2 linked regions of the Drosophila melanogaster genome follow. Changing the gene in region 2 together with the main gene of any one other region gives a genetic interaction. Each region holds a gene or a part of one and is shown on either strand. Other genes may lie near its edges.

Region 1 (5,146 bases), about 18 Mb from region 2:
AAGTAGGGCGGTGGTGGACCGTAATGTTGCTGCTGCTGCTGTTGATGTTGCTGATAGAGTTGCTGCTGCTGCTGCTGCTGCTGCTGTTGGTGTTGCTGCTGCGGCGAGGGCGTCGATATGGCAATTGTGGGCGCGGTTAGGAGCTCAATTTTGGAGGCTTTTCCTAGCTATCGCAGCTGACAATTTTGCGCGTATTGCCAACTTGAATTGTATTTTAACTTGCAGCACAAAGAACCACACGCGCGTTTTGCAACACTATTCGCTCGGAAATATTCACAAATGTTACATATAATTTTTTTTTAATTTTCGCTTCAGATTTACACTTGTTTTTTGCTTTTATTTATTTTGTTGTAAAAGAAACCACACTTTTTGCTTAATATATTTAATATTTATTTTACAGGCTTTGCTGAGATTTTTCACACACTTTTTGATCAAAAAAATTGAATTTGCTTCGTTTGGTTTGGTTGTCGTGGTTGGTTTGTTTTTTTTTTTTTTTTTACATAAATTTACACAAAATTATGAATAATATTTTACACAGTTGCACAGCTGTTGTTTTTGGGACTTAACAAAACTGAACTTTATTTATTTAATTACGTATGAGAATTGGTTAAAACTTGAATTTTTACAGATTTCTTGTTGAGAATTGTGGAATTTCCGTTTATTAATGTAGTTTATTAATTATAATTAGGATGAATTTTAATTTACACGACGTTTTAATGATGAAAATATACACAAACTGCAATGAGAAATTAAAGTGTAAACTGTGATTAGTAAACGCAGTAGTTTTTGGAAATAAATTGTTGAGAAATTATCGATTTCGAATCAAATAACTTTTTATATGATGCTAGTTTTTATTCCCAATTCAATACGACACTCGAACCACTGTACTTTTGTGCGATTAAAAACTTTGAGCTGGTCATGGTAAAGAAAAGATTCCGATAACACAGACAGCAGACAGGGCACATAATAATAATCAACAAAATAAAACGCACAAGGCACGCGTAAAAGCAAAACAATTTCTTCTAAAACTGAAAGACGACTAAGGCAAATATTAGCCATGATTTCCCCATTACGAAAACAATAACAAAGTAGATGCCGATAAGTGGTGAATTGCGGGGGGGGGGGGGGAGTGTGTGCGTTGCGTTTACGTTTGAGGAACAGGAGCCCCAAGAACAAGTCGCAGAAGCAGACTATCCATAGAAGAACAACGCAGCGCTGAATCATGCTCGAAAAATACGGAAAATATAATTTGGTTTCTTTGAAGACCGATTGGATTAATACTCTTAATAAATTACGATGCAGGCTAGTTTTATCAGTGACTATCAATACATAACTTTTCAGACTTTATCTATTCGTAAGTGCTTAGCAACCGTAACAAAAAGTTGGCACACGATAACAATGGCGTTTATGTTGCAGTTCCAAAAAGGTTTTAACGAAATTTTATAAATCACCATTAGGACCATTGCATTTCAACATTATGAAAATGATCTTTAGATCTGATTATTCAAATCCTGTTTTACTCTTTTAACATGAAATTCTATAATAGTTTGGGATTATAATAATATCCATTGTACAAAATATGGAATCCAATGAAAACAGAAACAAAATCCCTTTTTAAAATCTGGTTACATTGTAGATCGGCTTGTTTAACATCTAAGAATTTATACATATCTGGAAAACTTGTGAACAGAATTATTGTTATAGCGCCTCCCGCGGAAAGCACACGGAAAGACGTATAGCGGCTTGTTTAACATCTAAGAATTTATACATATCTGGAAAACTTGTGAACAGAATTATTGTTATAGCGCCTCCCGCGGAAAGCACACGGAAAGACGTATAGCGGGGGGTGGTGGGGCGGTCGAAAATGGAAAACATATAAAATTAACATACACACAGAGGAGCAAGAACAACAACAAGAACGATGCCGGCAGACGATGAGCGAATGCGACAGAACGAATGGCGAAGAAAACGAAACGAAGACGAAGGCGAAAGGCGGCCGCAAACATTTGAGGTTACGTTTTCAGCGAAAAGAATGCGAGTGGGTCGGTCTTTTATTTTATTATTTTTTTTTTTGTTTTTGGGTTGTTTACGAGAATTATATCTCCATTTCTCCCTTTCGGTCCTTTCGTGCCTCCCAAGAAGCCCCCCAAAAAAGGAGAGACAAGTGCAGCATGCGAAAAGGAAGAGAGAGAACGCGAATGCTGTGCCCCTGGAAGCTCGCACACACCCACACTTCTAGGGGAGGGGGGTATATATAAAAACAAACATAAAGATAAACCATAAAAGAGATGGCGGACAAAACAAAGGAGGTGCGGCCAATAAGTAATTAGGAATTAAAACCATTTGAATTGTTTAATATTTTAGTTGGTAGTTAGGCGTTCTTATTGGGAAAAGCACATATATACAATTGCAAGGCGTCCCGAGAGAGAGAAAGAGCGAGAGAGCACACACACACACGTAAGAGGGAGCTGAATGGTTTGGCGGGGGGACGCGGGGAGAAGGAAGAAGCAGAGCAGCCAAATGGCCACCGCTCAAAAGGAAGAACACGATGGTATAAGGAAATAATGAAACACACACATTCGCACACATACGCACAATCGGAAAAATTTGTTCACCAACCAAACAAAAAGAAAGGAATCATATAAATTATTCAGGCACACACTTAATTGATTTTTACCTTTTTCGGGCAAAATACGAATTAATTTCGCAAACTATTTATACATGTTTGCATATGTACAAAAAGCGGTCTGGAAATGCACACATACACTCATGCCGCCGAAATGGAAAAGGAAACCCGATGATGACAATGTAAAACGAAACAGGAGTACTTTACGGTTTTTAGCTGTTTTTTTTTGTTCATTTCCTTTTTTGAAACACTTACACATGCACTTAAAAAAGCCTTCTCGTTTGCATTTCCATTGATTTGATGGTGTGTGTGCTTTCGTTAAATACGAAATTTAGATTATTTAAATTACAATTATTTACACAGGATGATGAAGAAGAAATCGGCCAGGAATTTCTTCAACGTCGCCGCCGTCCGTCGCAGAACGATAATAAAAGCGAAATGCAAAGACACACTGGCCAAATACAACTACAACAAAGAGCTAGAGAGAGAGGAGAGAACAAGAACCCCCCAAAATGAGAGCAGTGTTGGCAAACGTGCGAAATCAACAGAGAGAACGAGTGAGCATGCCCACAGAGTGCGAGAGAGAGCAAGAGCGGGGGTGCGAGCGCAAAAGACCGACAATTTATTTTACTTTTATTAACATGCGCGCAAAATATTTATATAAATTGATTACACATTTTCTTGTTCTTTTATCATCACCCCCTTTTTTATATTCACCCTGGCAAATGAATTACGCTGCCCCAGCCAAATTGTTTATATATTATTTATCAATCGATTTTAGGGGCATGCCAAATTTGATCAGACGCCAGTCGCACACAAACACACACTTGAGCACACACATTCACAGACCAACACTCGCGCATACATACACACGCACCAGGGTGTTTGTTTTGTTTTTGTTTGCGGCTTTTTTTTTTATCAATTTGTGATCTTTTTTCGCAGCCGCAAATTTGATTGTGATTTACCGCCGATTGGAAATGTAAACAATGCTGTCGAACTATCAGCATAAGGCTGGCAGTTTTAAAATACTTTTCATATTTTATAGCTGTTGGGTACTCACACCTTAGCTTATTTGAAAAATTTACATATTACAAGCACGCCGTTCTAGGTCTGCTTCTTCTTACGCGCGAACATTTAGTGTGACCGCAGCTCGACCGTTCAAATATACCATTGCGAAGCGCACTGAGAAACACTCTCCAATAGTTCTAAGATACCAAAAATTTAGCATACTACTATATGTAAGTTATAATTTCATTTACTATCCCATTAGAGAAATTAATTGATTTTTATGTTCTATAATGCATTTAACTAGTTGCCCTAGTTTTAATGTTGTTAAAATAGCATTACAACAATTACCGTTTATAACTTCACTTTCTTCAGAGTGACCATATAATGTAAAGTACAGTGAACACTGTATATAAAGAATCAATACAACCATGGATTTACATATTTTTCCATCTGGTTTATATCAATAGATAATATATGTTAAATGATATATATAAAAACTAAATTACACAAAATTTTTTTAGGTATAGTAGGTTTATTTAAACTTGTATACGATTGAAATTTCTGCAATCAAATCAAATTTGTTGTTACAATAAAGTTCAGTTCTACTTCGGAACTTGAAATCTTCCCCAAATATGTTATTTATGTGTTATTTATTTGGTAATTTCAATCCAAGTTGAAATCGTTTTCCGAGCTATGTGTCGTCATTACAGTGCAGTGCAGTTGTAAACGGTTTGTCCGATTTCTCAGCAATAAATCGGAATATATATGTAGACAAAGTGTGTTGTTTTAGGAGGGGAAGGTTCTCTAAAGTCCAAGTAGGTCCTATCCATTTTTGTGTTTTCTTCTCTTACTTGCAGATTTTTTTTCGTTTTTTTTTTTTTGCTTTTACAACATTCTTTTTTTTTTGTGTTGATTTTTGGGGAGGGGTGTGTGGAAATGTTTATAAATTGTATGTTTTAGGCAGCTACCGATTCGGAATCGTTGTAGTTATCCGAAACATAACCGTCGTTGGCATCATTTTCGCCATCGGAGTTCCATTTGAGGCCATCTCCTTTGGTTGGTGTCCCATCCACGGCACGGTCCTCGTCGTTCGACTCCTTCTTGGAGTTGTGTTGGCCCTGATCGGCGGAATCAGCATCATCTGCATCGTCATCAATATTTTTCGCTGGGCGACTACGGGGCTTTGTTGTTTCCTCTTTGGACACCTTGCCAGCGGCAAGAGAGGGACGTCCACGTTTCTTCGGCGCCACTACCGTCTTCTCAGGCGAGCTGTGTTCCTCCTCCCCGGAGTTCTCATCGTCCTGATCGTCGTCATTGTCCTCGTGCTTCTCGACGGGTGCAGCATTGGCCTTTGGACGACCGCGCGGACGACCGGTGGGTACGTAGCCAGTACTGCCACCGCTACCCGACTTGTTCTGTGGTGGACGACCGCGTTTCTTGGGCACTTGTGGCTCCCCATCGCCATTGGACTCGACAGCCCGCTTCTTGGGTCTTCCCAGGCCGCGTCCCGTG
Region 2 (7,891 bases):
ACTGTTCTGGTGTAAGCACGATCACTTTTCTTGTTTTTCCTATAGTTTTGGACTGGTTTTAAAATGTTCCGAGCAGAGACTACGACTTATACACGCTTTCTACGTTATTCGAATACGAAAAGTCACTGCTCAATTTGTTGTTGCACGACCACGACGAACAGCTGGCCGACCAAAGTTGCCAGGCCGTTGTGTAGGTAGGCAGTTCAAAATTTTCAAATAAAATGTGAGCAGGTGTTTTTCTAATAATTGCTAAGATTTATACAAATAAATACATTTTATTATTTAATTAAAAATGTCACTCTGTTGTAAGTTTTGCAATTCGATCATGGCTATTTAGTAAAGCGACCTCTAAAAGCAGCTGGATTGGCAGTGCTGCCATCCCGTTTTCCTTTTCAAATTCTTAAATTGCGTGGGGTATTATTGATTTATTAATTATCTATATAAATTAATTACTTCTATGTATAAAATACATAGCGCGCCATAAGCTTAAGCCTAAACAAATACAAATTCGACAATCGGGCAACTGAAATAACATTGCAATAGCTTAATTTCGAGTGTTACAGATTAAAATATACATGTAGCTCTAGCGTGAACGAGAAGGCATATTTGAGAAGGTTTTTGGTTTCCAGTACCGGTGGGTCGATTGACTATAGAAGATTACTTCTTTTTGGCCGCACTGGGACTGGTGGACTGGAACACCGATGAGGCCGACATCAGGTTCTCGATGTACTGGCCGAGCACCTGGTTCTCGGAGCGCAGCTTCAGATTTTCCTCCTTGACGGAATCGACGCGTTGCGACAGGTCGTCCAGGGTGTTCTGCAGCTCCAGGACCTGTGTGATGAGGCGGGCCTTCTCCTCCCGATCGTCCTGGGCCATTTCCATGGCCTCCAGCGAATTGTGCGATGAATCTGGCGTGGAACTGCGGTTGGTGAACGATGAACGCAACGAGTCCATGGACCTCCCACTGGGCATTCGTCCCGTCGCCGGTGGCTCGTCGTCCGGAATGACCACTGCGTTTTTGGGGGGGATTAGCAATTGATAACATCATCACTCGGGACTCCACCCACTCCCTCCAGTTTTCACTTACCCTGTGGATCCTCGTCCATGTTGGGAATGCTGTCGTCATTGTTTAACAGGGACATGGCTGGCAGTGTTCAGGGGTACTCTTTATTCTATAAAACTTAAACTCTATTCACTTTTGCCAAATTTCTCTTAACAATTGACACGAAAATAAAACTACCCTTTGGGAAGTTGGCCAACACTAGCTGCTGGCGCTGCCGTTGTTTAGTATGAGCGGCGTTTTCCAGTACTAACAGAAGTTTAAGGAGAAGAAGAAGAAGCTGTATTTTGTAATCTTTGAAGCAATTAAATATTGATAAAGTTGCTAAGTTAATGTGCGGTTTTAAATATATACAACTATTCAGAGGACAAACTCTTTTCGTTAAAATTGTTCCGAGAAGGTAAAAAGCTCTGTTGGATATTGCGAAATTTTCCTCTGCACTTATTTTACAATATCAGGTACATGTAAAGCCATCGCTTGATATTAATTTAAGCATTTAAGGCTGCTAAGTAGCGTATTTCCAAAACAGTTAACACCAAACAAGAAAGGCTTCGTTTATTTACCATTTTATTTCCGCCTTTTCAAAATAACCGACATCGGGCGCACACGAATCGGCAACCAGAGTTGCCACCTGAGCCGTTCGATCATAGAAATTAAAATACACACATGCTTTTGCAGTTTTTAATATTGTTGAACGACAGAACGCTTCCGTTTCGATGGCACTGCGTAATGTTTCGAGCTGCTTTAGTTGGCTTACCTGGTGAAAAATGTGCTTAAATTGTTAAGATTTTCCGCCCGATTTCGCTGGCCATTCGTTTTTGCCTGCATTTACGAGGTCGAACGAGCAGTAACACCCTCGCAGCAACAAACTGCAGTTCAATCGAATCATACGGTTAAAGCAGGTAAGCCTACATATCCTGGCCCACCTTTCGACACTCGCGACCTGACTTTCTGAACTTCTATCATTCCAGCCGTGTTCGGCAAGCCAACAGCATCCCGATATCCTGGTTTCCGCCTCCTCCGCGGCTGTACATTTCATTTCGCTCCGCGGGCAAAAACGAATCGCGTGCGGGTAAGTCAACAGTTGGATCCTGGCAGCGGAACCTGTAGACTCTCTGAAAGTGAAAAATGAAGACGCATTCCATGGGCCCTAGACCAAATTCCCTGGCCAGTGGTTCATCCGAACCAAGATAAGAGGTTTCAGTTATTGTGACATTGGGTGGGCTGCTACGTAACATGGGGCTGGGAGATCGGATCGGTTTAGCCATCAAGGGCTCGTAAATGTGGTCGTGAGATGGGATTCAAAGCCCAGAGGAGCTATTTTTAGGTTCTAGTCGTTTTTGAGATAACATAAATCTTTGGGCAGCATAACTAAAAATGGTATCAAAATTCAATATACGTGCAGTGTGGCCGTACTGGGGCAACGAGGTTTTGCCCAATGGCCGCGGGTAAATTGTAAAAACAAAAAAAAAAAAAAAGCAAGCGCAATAAACAGAAATATTAAGGTAGGATAACACAGGTATTGTAACTAATGACTTTAAGCTGCTAGATATTTCCCTTTTTATTGGGACAGATGGCGATTGGCTATTAACAGCGAATATGCATACAAGTTGCAAAGCAACTGCTACCTGCTAGCTATTTTCTGATTACCATGCTTTTGCAGCTTTAAAATCCTTATATAGCATCCAAAACTAAATCCAACTTAACCTTTTTCAGGTAATAACAAACCCAAAGTAACCGTAAATATTTAAAACTAATTCGCAATCTGTGCATTTAAATACCAAATGTTGGTATATTATCAGAACCGAGAAACACGAACAATGAGAGCAAGGAAACGCGCGAAACAATAACTTTAATTCAAAAACTTAACAATTTCTGCGATTTTGATTAAGAGAAAAGTGATTGATGAATATACGGATATAAAGCACAAATCGCGCGATCGAGAACATAACAAATTGCCAAATAGTTTTGTGAAAAGGGGGAATACAAAAAAATACTAACGCCGGTGTGGAGTGTAAAATGCCAAAAACTTTTGTGCGCCTCAACGTACAAACATTGTAAAGACAAGAATATAACTTCGATTTCCGCTGGTTAAAAAAGAAATCAAAAATCCATAGCTCTAAGCATAAACGGCTCAAAATGCTGCCATTGTCGATGGCCAGTGCGGAGGCCAAGCAGCTCCAGCGCAATATATCATTGTCCATGTCGCCAGCGAATGGAGGAGTCATCTCACCATCTACCGCGAATTGCAATGGTGTTGCCTCTGCCTCCGGCGGAAATCCAAATCCCAACAGCCTCCTCACACTAGCTCCGCGCAAGGAGGAGCTACGCTTCCTGCCCCTGGCGCCCATGGGCGGCAACAAGACCTGCAACATCACCATCAGCAATGTCCAGCCAATGAAATCCAAACTAAAGTCGGTCAACATAGTGCCAAATTCCATAAAGTCCGCTGGAGCTGGCGCCACTGTCGGATCAGCAGATGCTCCCCTGTTCCAGCTGGTGCCATCGCCCAGTAATCCCAGCCAACCGTTGGTGGCCATTCTGGCCCCCAATCGCAAGACCACGCTGCTTGGCGGAGGTGCATCCAATGGCCAACCGGTGGTCATACGCTCCGGAACACCTTTGCACAAGAACAGCCTGACCGTTGAGACCAGCAACAAGCCCATCCAGCCAGGAGGATCGGCTGCAGCAGCCGCCGTTGGAGGCGGAACTGGAGGAGCACCTTTAACGCTCGTGGGCAAAACGGTCGTTCCACCGAAAATACAAGCGGGTAAGTGTAGGGTTTCGGTTTCCCCTTCTTCCGAGTTATGTAAGTTATGAGTTACAAGTGGGTTTCCCCAGTCTGAGAGGAAGAGGAAGAACAGATCCCCCAGATCCGAGGCCAGTCGGAAAATGGGAAACACTCTTGCAAAAGTGTGCGTGTGTGTGTGTGTGTGCGCGAGTGTGTGTGTGAGTGTGCGTGTGGGGTGCGGGGCAATCTTTATAGTTTACTTTCGTTGTTCACATCAGTCTGCGGGTTTAGTTTTTAGTTGTTGTTCGACGGCTGCACATTTCATAACACCAATTTAATAGGGTTTGTGTTCGTGTGCCATTTTCGGAAAATAAGTTCCAAGCATCGAATTGGGTGGGTGCCATGTTCCATGACTGGGTCGGTACGAATTGGAGAAGCAACACGAAGAACTTATTGCTATTTCCAATATATATGATGTATATATGCTGGTTTTATCAATAGCAGTATGCAAAAGGCGGGGTGCCAGCGAGAACAACAACAACAACAACAGCACCAGCAAAGCGACACTGATGATGACGATCAGGTTTTTGCAGCTGCAATAAGAGGAGAAGATTTTGGATCAGCACTGTCAGAGCGCAGTCGATCGGTGCGGTGAGGGTGCGGCGGTGCGGGGATCGGGTTCGGGTTCGGGTTCAATGGAGGATCCAATCGGATTGCCTTCGGGTGACTAATTAAAGAAAATTCAAAGCTAATTCGTGTTTCTCTATCTTTCTTTATTTCTGCTCTCCATTTGGATGCAACCGTACAGCGACACCTGTCCAGATTCCCAGCACGGGTCCGGGTGCGCAGGTATCCCTGCTGGCCAATCCCCTCAAGCCACGTGCTCCACTCATACTCAGCAAGGTGGCGGTGGATAAGCTGCGTCTAAAGTTCAGCCAGGTCAAGAGCAACCCAAATGCACTCGTTCTCGGCAAGGCCAATCATGTGAAGAAACTTCTGACATCGCCGAACCCCAGTGGAGAGGATAAGACCAGGAGCACCCAGAAAAACAACAAACAGAATACTAGTGCCAGCCAACTGAAGCCAGTTGTGGCACCCAAAACGGCTATGCCCATTGCCACGGAGGTGCCGACCGCCGATAACAACAAAATGAGCCTAATTAAGTCCAAGCCCGTGGCCATCAAGGCAGTGCCGCTGCCCAGCCAGGAAGCGCCCATTGTGCCGGCAGTGGCGCCAGTTGTTACATCTCCAGAGAAGGTCGACGTTAAGCCCACTGCAAAGCCCTCAATCAAGACAGCACCCAAACCAACTCCTAAACCTCTGGAGATGTCCGTAAATGGACCAGCCAAGGAGAAAAAGGCGCCTGCCAAGGAGCAGAAACAGAAGACAATGGACAAACCACCGGTGGTCAAGGAAATCGCTCAACATACGCCATGTGGGCCCAAGGAATTGCCCAAACTAAAGCGGTCGAAATCCTTCGTGTCCAACCATCCCGCTTCGCCTGTGGCCAACAACGAGCGACGTCACTCGGTGGCCATTATGGCCAAGGAGGTGGATGTGATCGAGCAGCCCAGTGCGGCAATCGAGACCATCACCATTGAAGACGATGATGAGAGCGAGGAAGAGCAGCAGAAGCCGGAAATTAAGAAGACGCCGAAGCAGAATCAGAAGCCGGAAAAGCAGGAGGCGCCGAAGAAGAAGCAGATCCCCATGCCCATTCTGCCCGCAGGAATAACCATTTCCACCACCAGTACGGCCAAGAAAAAGGCCGTGAGAAAGAACTCCTCCGTGACGACAATCTCTTCTAGTTCCAGCGACAGTTCGTCCTACAGCGATGTGGAGGTGGTACCGACCAAGAAAACCGAGAAGGAACTCAGTATGCTGCCTGGCATAAGCATCATCAAGGCGGAATCTCTGCCACTGAGCAGGGAGGACTTTGAACGCTCGTTGCGTTGCGATGAGCAGGTGCCCCAAACTCCGCCCAAGTCATCCTCCTCATCCTCGAGCGGCTCTCACGCATCGGAAATGTCGCCGCCGCCCAAACTCGCCGATCCGAAGCCATCAAGTCCACCTGCAAAGAATGCCAAGAAAGCCAACGACCATGATGCGAACCCATCTCCTAGCAGCAAGACCAATGACTTTAAAAAGAGCATGATGCAGAACCTGAACATGTTGAAATGGCGCGGCCAGCAGCCGGCCAACCTGCAGAACTCCACCGTCCGGTTCGAGCTGAATGAGTTCAATTTTCTGCAGATAAACGAACGCTGCCAGCCACGCCAGGGTCCAGCTGCATATTTCGAGCGGCCTTTGTATGATCGTCCGGGCCGCAGGCCCTCGGCCTGCGTCCATCCGCTGCTGTACTTGTGCCAGCGTTGCAATTTCCACGGACCCGCCGCCGACTTTCTGGCACCACGTGAGTAAAGAGAGCAGCTACCAAAGTCCCCAAACTCTATATATATTATATATTATTTTCTCCTACAGATTTCTGCTCCGTTGGCTGTGTGCGTCGATCCCAGAAGCGTCGTCTGCCGCAGAGTACGCAGAAGGAGAGCAAGATAAGCCGTACCCAACTAGAGCAAACAGCTGGAACAGCGCCAGATTTGCCACAAAAGCGGCAAACCAACTACAAACCACACAAATCTCTGTCTGCCATACAGGAACAGCTGCAGCAACGTCAAAAGGATAAGCCCAGAAAGCCATTCCGCTGGAGCGAGTACCTCAAGTCAAAGGGAAAGGATGTGGCAGCGCCCATCCACCTGTTCCTCAATCCGTTCCCCATCAGTCCCAACTGCTTCGAGATCGGCATGAAGCTAGAGGCCATCGATCCGGAGAACTGCTCGCTCTTCTGTGTCTGCAGCATTGTCGAGGTGCGCGGCTATCGGCTGAAGCTTAGCTTCGATGGCTACTCCTCCATGTACGACTTCTGGGTGAACGCCGACTCGCAGGACATCTTTCCGCCAGGCTGGTGCGATGAGACAGCACGCGTTCTGCAGGCGCCTAAGGACTACAACTCGGAGCGCTTCAGTTGGAGCCGCTATTTGGTGAAAACGGGCGGCAAGGCAGCTCCGCGGGCGCTCTTTGGTCATCTGAATATGCAGCAGCAGATGGATGTGCGCAACGGCTTCGCTGTGGGCATGCATCTCGAGGCGGAGGACCTGAACGATACGGGAAAGATTTGTGTGGCCACAGTGACGGATATTCTGGACGAGCGCATTCGAGTCCACTTCGACGGCTGGGATGACTGCTACGACCTGTGGGTACACATCACCTCACCGTACATCCATCCCTGCGGTTGGCACGAGGGACGCCAGCAGTTGATCGTTCCGCCGGACTACCAGAAGTCTGCCTTCATTTGGGATGACTACATATCAGAGGTTGGTGGAATGGCCGCCTCCAAGGAGCTGTTCACACCACGCCAGCCAATGGAGTACCAGGAACGCATGAAACTGGAGGTGGTGGACCAGCGTAATCCCTGCCTAATTCGTCCGGCCACCGTGGTGACGCGGAAGGGTTACCGGGTTCAGCTGCACCTGGACTGCTGGCCCACGGAGTACTACTTCTGGCTGGAGGACGACAGTCCCGATCTGCACCCCATCGGCTGGTGCGAGGCCACCTCGCACGAACTGGAAACCCCGCCTGGCTATCTTCAGCCCAAGTCCGTGATGCCTTGCGATGTGGAGGGATGTCGGGGATTTGGCAACGCCAAGCGCTTCAACCTCAACGTGCATGCTTTGCGGGAATGCTGTCCGTATGCGCCGGAAAATTGGCGTCAGTGGCGCTCCAAAACGGTGAAACCGCCGCGTGTGGCCCCCGAGAATATCAGACGTGGATGGGCGAAGAAAACAAAGCGTGCCTGTTCGGAGGCCAAGCAAGCCATTAAGGAGGACTCCCAACAAGAGATTGTCTACCCGAAGGTCGCGGAAGTGGTGCAAGCCAAGCGAAAGACGTCTCCTTGTGAGGAGAAGGTTGTGAAAAAGCAGAAACAGATGCAGAAGGAGGAGGATGCGGAGCAGGTGCCGGATGAACGCTCCCTGGCCATAGCCAGGTCCTTTGTGAAGGACTATGGACCACAGTTCCTGCCAAACTATCGCCTCTGGCAG

What was found.
Region 1: of l(3)mbt (region 2) and pum, changing one suppresses a phenotype caused by changing the other (phenotypic suppression), as found in Drosophila melanogaster (one study listed by BioGRID).

The regions. Positions count from the first base shown.
Region 1 is NT_033777.3:9,233,929-9,239,074, forward strand, and holds the start of pum (pumilio), read right to left. Parts: upstream 3,098-5,146; 5' UTR 2,882-3,097; intron 737-2,881; 5' UTR 1-736. Other genes in the region: D1 chromosomal protein, read right to left, coding at 4,591-5,146. UniProt on the Drosophila melanogaster protein: Sequence-specific RNA-binding protein that acts as a post-transcriptional repressor by binding the 3'-UTR of mRNA targets.
Region 2 is NT_033777.3:27,267,082-27,274,972, reverse strand, and holds the start of l(3)mbt (lethal (3) malignant brain tumor), read left to right. Parts: upstream 1-1,699; 5' UTR 1,700-1,962; intron 1,963-2,031; 5' UTR 2,032-2,132; intron 2,133-2,776; 5' UTR 2,777-3,199; coding exon 3,200-3,830; intron 3,831-4,599; coding exon 4,600-6,204; intron 6,205-6,272; coding exon 6,273-7,891. Other genes in the region: CG5934 (uncharacterized protein), read right to left, coding at 658-1,010, 1,088-1,142.